Xenopus tropicalis: one gene and its partner. The protein of the gene in region 2 binds, or shares a complex with, the protein of the main gene of each other region. Links are inferred from orthologs where the notes say so. Each region holds a gene or a part of one and is shown on either strand. Other genes may lie near its edges.

What was found. The genes of interacting proteins can lie anywhere in the genome.
Region 1: cc2d2a (region 2) and tmem231 share a complex: the UniProt entries of both Homo sapiens proteins name them as parts of the tectonic-like complex. The link is inferred for Xenopus tropicalis from reciprocal best matches to the Homo sapiens genes CC2D2A and TMEM231.

Annotation. Positions count from the first base shown.
Region 1 is NC_030680.2:64,236,811-64,239,705, reverse strand, and holds part of tmem231 (transmembrane protein 231), read left to right. Parts: intron 1-53; coding exon 54-182; intron 183-1,678; coding exon of another isoform or gene 1,679-1,681; coding exon 1,682-1,822; intron 1,823-2,379; coding exon 2,380-2,461; intron 2,462-2,895. UniProt on the Homo sapiens protein: Transmembrane component of the tectonic-like complex, a complex localized at the transition zone of primary cilia and acting as a barrier that prevents diffusion of transmembrane proteins between the cilia and plasma membranes.
Region 2 is NC_030677.2:27,856,424-27,860,182, forward strand, and holds the start of cc2d2a (coiled-coil and C2 domain-containing protein 2A), read left to right. Parts: upstream 1-1,459; 5' UTR 1,460-1,656; coding exon 1,657-1,695; intron 1,696-3,759. UniProt on the Homo sapiens protein: Component of the tectonic-like complex, a complex localized at the transition zone of primary cilia and acting as a barrier that prevents diffusion of transmembrane proteins between the cilia and plasma membranes.

The sequences.
Region 1 (2,895 bases), on a different chromosome or scaffold from region 2:
TCAGTAGCTTAGCAAGGCATTGTTATTGCTTACATTATGGTGTTTATTTACAGGCAAGAGAGGAAGACAGAAATCAAGATGGTAAAATGGATTTATTGAACTTCCAGCTGGAGCTTCCTCTGCAACCCACTGATAATATTTATGGTGTGCAGCTCATTCTGACATTCTCCTACCAGCTCAGTGTGAGTACAGAAGAGTATATGCACAGTGGTGCTTGAAAGTTTGTGAACCCTTTAACATTTGCTATATTTTTATATGAATGTAACCTAAAACATCATCTGATTTTCAAGCAGATGAAGAAAACCTAGTTAAACAAATGAAACAAAAATTATTATAGTTGGGCATGTCATGTATTATCCAATAATATCTGTATGTGGCAAAAGTAAGTGAATCCTTAGGAGTATCATATAATTTGAAGGTGAAGCAGAGTCTGGTGTTTTCAGTCAATGGGATGACAATCAGGTGTGAGTGACAGACCCTGTTTTTAAAAAACGGGGATCCAGCAAAGCCTGATCACACTTACAACACATTTGTGGTGGTTGTACCCAGAAATGATTGACTATCAAAGATATTTTCAACTGCAAGGTGTTTAATAGCCCGAGAGGTTACAAAGGAACCCAGAGTAACTTCTAAGGAACTAAAGGCCTGTCTCACATTGGCGAATGTTGATGTTCATGAGTCCACCATCAGGAGAACACTGAACAGCAATGGTGTGTATGGCAGGTAGCAAGGGAAAGCCACTGCTCTCCCCCAAAAATATTGCTGACCCTCTACAGTTAAAAATCATGTGGACAAACTAGGAGGATACTGGAAGAATGTTTTGTGGACAGATGAAGGCAAAGTAATACTTTTAGGCTGAAATATATGTTGATATCTGGACAAATAGTGGATTCGTATATGCTCTTTAACAAGAAAGATTACAGTGGTCCGAAATTAAAATTTCACCTATCAGACATAGTTACATAAAGGGGAAGGAAAGGCTAAGTCACTTGGGGGGGATAAAATGTTAAGCACCCCCAAGTGACTTGAATCGCTTACCTCGTACCCCGGGCTGGTGCCCCTATTAGGAGAAAACCGCACCAGCCCAGGGCACCTGGGGCGATGCACTTCCTCCTTCCACCTTCGTTTCGCTGCGACTCCGAGTCCGGCGCATGCGCAGTAGAGTGAAAAAGCCGGCGTCTCTGTTAAAGTTCGGCTTTTCACTCTACTGCGCACGCACGCGCGCGCAGCGAAGGAGGAAGCGATCGCTGCTACCCCGGGCTGGTGCTGTTCTCTCCATACAGGGGCACCAGCCCGGGGTAGAAGGTAAGCGATTCAAGTCACTTGGGGTGCCTAACATTTTGGCACCCCCAAGTGACTTTTCCTTCTCCTTTAAGTCAGCACACACTGGGTTCTGGAAATGGGGTGGGATGAGATTATGTTACTATACTCTAATGTTCATGTACTGTTCATTTCTGCAGTGATGTAACAGTAGGGAAGAAAAACCCATAGCTGCAGGACAAAAGGGGCTAACTAATGATCAATAATCACCTTGAGCTCCCATTGTCAGGTGTATATGGATAGAATAGTGGTAGAAATCAGGAGTTTTGCACATGGTGAAGGGGTAACCAAAATATTGTTATCTGGTCATGGGTCCCAGGTCCGCTGCAGTATTTCAGAAATTGTGTTTCTTTTTCAGAAGATGTCAACATTTATCATGCAGAGCATGGCCTTAATCCAGTACTCCTCTCCAATTCCTGGATCTCAGCTTTATATGAATGGGGATTTGAAACTACAACAAAGGCAGCCTCTGAATCACAGGGGTTTGGACACAACATACAACGTAAGCTTTGTGTTTCCCTAACATTTGTTATATGCATATTGTCTTGTAACAATATAGGGCTCATATACTGTAGATCAGATACAAGTGCTACTTTAATAAAGGGTCCAAAATTGCACCCCTTGGAAAGCCATTTAGTTAGCACTTGAACCAGTTCCGTACACAGTGCAGAGTATACCCTTAAGCTGTCAGTACAGGGCTGCTGATGCATATTGCATATATGATGCATATAAACAGACATGCCTTTTTACACCTCACAAAAGACACAAAAGTTAGGGGTGCTCTTATGGACAGCAATGGGCTGCATATGTGCCATTCTTTGCAATACTCTGTCAGGTGCAGGGGTGCAAAAATGTGGACGTGACAGAACTAGGTAAAGAAAGCAGCAGCAAGGTGAATTGTGGGCAAATAAAACTGTGCACTCTGTAATTAGTAAATGAGTCCTCGTAACTTATAGCAGCGAACAAACAAATAAATTGGTCATCTTCTGTATAACAACATAGGTAGAAATATTAAATTCATAGCACTAACATAAACTGATGTTTCCAATTATATGGCAGGTGTCTGTGATAAACCGAAGCAGCCCTTTTGCAAGTACCTATGCACTCACAAACATAATATCGTCTTACCAGGAAAGAAACGGTAATGTGGAAAAAGTTGAGCAAGACAAACAGTAATTCTTGTCTTTATAATATGGATGGACTGCGATCAACCACTTAAGGAGTTTGTATGTTCTTGATAAGATGGCCATAGTGTTTGTTTATGTGATAGGGACATTAGAATGTAGTATCGCCAGCTGAAGTTTGCCTGTGTATGGCCAGTTTAACAGGAGTGTCTGTGCTGCACACAAAAGACACTCCTTGTCATATTATACATGGAGCTGGTACAGGTATGGGATCTGTTAGCTGGTAACCGTTTACCCAAAAGGCTCAGAAATATTTTGACTTTTTGTAACGTATTTACTTTTTCTCTCTAAAATTATGACAGTTGCTAGTAATTGATGTTAAATAAGCTAGCATAAATGTCTCTCTCATTCCTTTCTTAAAGCATGGTGCTTAATTTTATTAAAAGACCTT
Region 2 (3,759 bases):
TATTATCCCCCCACTGCTGCTATAGGCACCATCTCTCCCTACTATACCTGTTATTCCACAGCCACAGTCCCTTCCCAGAGGCTATTATCCTCCCACTGCTACTATAGGCACCATCTCTCCCTACTATACCTGCTATTCCAGTCTCAATCCCTTCCCAGAGGCTATTATCCCCCCACTGCTACTATAGGCACCATCTCTCCCTACTATACCTGCTATCCCACAGCCCCAGTCCCTTCCCAGAGGCTATTATCCCCCCACTGCTACTATAGGCACCATCTCTCCCTACTATACCTGCTATCCCACAGCCCCAGTCCCTTCCCAGAGGCTATTATCCCCCCACTGCTACTATAGGCACCATCTCTCCCTACTATACCTGCTATCCCACAGCCACAGTCCCTTCCCAGAGGCTATTATCCCCCCACTGCTACTATAGGCACCATCTCTCCCTACTATACCTGCTATCCCACAGCCACAGTCCCTTCCCAGAGGCTATTATCCCCCCACTGCTACTATAGGCACCATCTCTCCCTACTATACCTGCTATCCCACAGCCACAGTCCCTTCCCAGAGGCTATTATCCCCCCACTGCTACTATAGGCACCATCTCTCCCTACTATACCTGCTATCCCACAGCCACAGTCCCTTCCCAGAGGCTATTATCCCACTGCTACTATAGGCACCATCTCTCCCTACAATACTTATAAATAAAGACGTGAATTTCAATGTTTTGCTTTCCCCCCATTATAATGAAGTGAAATGATATTTTCTGTGGCAGTTTAACAGGTTGTAGCAGTTTCCATGCCCCACTGTGATACCTTCACTAAAAGGAAATCTCGCATCATTAAAGAGCAGGCACCTGTGCTGTAAAAAAAAACCAATAATGTATAATGAGCAATTTATTGATTTAATGTGTTAATTAAAAGTCAGCGCATTGGTTGTCGGATTTTGTCCCTTCCCTTATAAAAGAAAGCTGTGTAAGGGGGAAAAGATGCAAGCACCTGAGCTCCCCACTCCTTTGCCAAGTCTCCAGCTCTCCGATGTCCCCCTTGATGGCGGCCCTGCACAGCGACACAGTCCTCACGGCGCTACCAAATAGCCAATCACAGTCATTATTTGGCCTCCCCAAAGAACTTCTTTTAATGTTTCTGTGGCTCACAGGTAAAACAAAAAGTTGGGGATCCCTGGTCTAACCCCTTTGGTTATGACTGAATACAGTAAGGGCGATCCATACCCAATAAGAACATGCTTGGTTATAATGAAATAAACCTCATTTGTGTGCACGTTTTATCTCGATCACTGGTTATATTATAAACAAATCTTTGGTTTATCTGCACAGAAGTCTCTACCACTAAACATTTCAGCACATACTAATGCCAGCCTTAGCAGCTGGAACTGAGTCTGTAGGTACAGAGACTCCATGGCAACGTTACAGCAAACACCCAGCAGTAGTACGCCCCTCCCACCGAACTATCCCAGTGCGCGGTGCATGCTGGGAGTGCGATCCCCCGGCCAATGGCGGCGCTCACCGACGCTTAAGTCGTTCTCTTTCTGAACCTGTACATTTCTGTATTGAATGAACTATAGACTTAACCGCAGCTACCGAAGAGGGGACAATTGTTCGGGTTCCAAGCTTGGAGCTGTCGCCACTAAGCTGCGATGAGACACTCTGAGGAGAAGCAGAGGATGGTGACACAGGTCTGTGCTGCTGATACACTAACTCAGTGTTGCCGTGTGTGTATGTTGTGCAGTTTGTGCTACAGTTACATTGAATAAGCGAATGGAATTTGTTGCTTACGCTACTGCTATGTCTATGGAGTTCCTGTGGTTGCTATAGGCGCCTCTGTGCGGTTGCTAAGGCCAAAGCGGAAGTTGCTGCGTTGCATTGCTTCACTTTCACTTTAGCGCTCCATGTTGTTTAACTAAAACTCTCAGCCCTCCCAAAGGTGCAACTGGGGGTTGTAGTACAGGTATAGGACCTGTTATCCAGAATGCTCGGGACCAAGGGTATTCCGGATAAGGGGTCTTCCTGTAATTTGGATCTCCATACCTTAAGTCTGCTAAAAAATCAATAAAACATTAATTTTAACACCCAATAGGTCTGTTTTGCATCCAATAAGCATTAATTATATCTTTGTTAGGATCAAGTACAGGTACTGTTTTATTATTACAGAGAAAAGGGAATCATTTAACCATTAAATAAACCCAATAGGGCTGTTCTGCCCCCAATAAGGGGTAATTATATCTTAGTTGGGATCAAGTACAGGTACTGTTTTATTATTATAGAGAAAAGGGAATCATTTAACCATGAAATAAACCCAATAGGGCTGTTCTGCCCCCAATAAGGGGTAATTATATCTTAGTTGGGATCAAGTACAGGTACTGTTTTATTATTACAGAGAAAAGGGAATCATTTAACCATTAAATAAACCCAATAGGGCTGTTCTGCCCCAATAAGGGGTAATTATATCTTAGTTGGGATCAAGTACAGGTACTGTTTTATTATTACAGAGAAAAGGGAATCATTTAACCATTAAATAAACCCAATAGGGCTGTTCTGCCCCAATAAGGGGTAATTATATCTTAGTTGGGATCAAGTACAGGTACTGTTTTATTATTACAGAGAAAAGGGAATCATTTAACCATTAAATAAACCCAATAGGGCTGTTCTGCCCCCAATAAGGGGTAATTATATCTTAGTTGGGATCAAGTACAGGTACTGTTTTATTATTACAGAGAAAAGGGAATCATTTAACCATGAAATAAACCCAATAGGGCTGTTCTGCCCCCAATAAGGGGTAATTATATCTTAGTTGGGATCAAGTACAGGTACTGTTTTATTATTACAGAGAAAAGGGAATCATTTAACCATGAAATAAACCCAATAGGGCTGTTCTGCCCCCAATAAGGGGTAATTATATCTTAGTTGGGATTAAGTACAGGTACTGTTTTATTATTACAGAGAAAAGGGAATCATTTAACCATTTAATAAACCCAATAGGGCTGTTCTGCCCCCAATAAGGGGTAATTATATCTTAGTTGGGATCAAGTACAGGTACTGTTTTATTATTACAGAGAAAAAGGAAATCATTTAACCACTAAATAAACCCAATAGGACTGTTCTGCCCCCAATAAGGGGTAATTATATCTTAATTGGGATCAAGTACAGGTACTGTTTTATTATTACAGAGAAAAGGGAATCATTTAACCACTAAATAAACCCAATAGGGCTGTTCTGCCCCCAATAAGGGGTAATTATATCTTAGTTGGGATCAAGTACAGGTACTGTTTTATTATTAGGGCTCTGGTACACGGGGAGATTAGTCGCCCGCGGCAAAACTCCCTGCTCGCGGGCGACTAATCTCCCCGAGTTGCCTTCCCTCTGCCATCCCACTGGCGAACATGTAAGTCGCCGGCGGGATGGCAGACGCGGCGGGGCGATTTGCGCGAAATCGCGCTGCCGCGTCTGCCATCCCGCCGGCGACTTACATGTTCGCCGGTGGGATGGCAGAGGGAAGGCAACTCGGGGAGATTAGTCGCCCGCGAGCAGGGAGTTTTGCCGCGGGCGACTAATCTCCCCGTGTACCAGAGCCCTTACAGAGAAAAGGGAATCATTTAACCACTAAATAAACCCAATAGGACTGTTCTGCCCCCAATAAGGTGTAATTATATCTTAGTTGGGATCAAGTACAGGTACTGTTTTATTATTACAGAGAAAAGGGAATCATTTAACCATTAAATAAACCCAATAGGGCTGTTCTG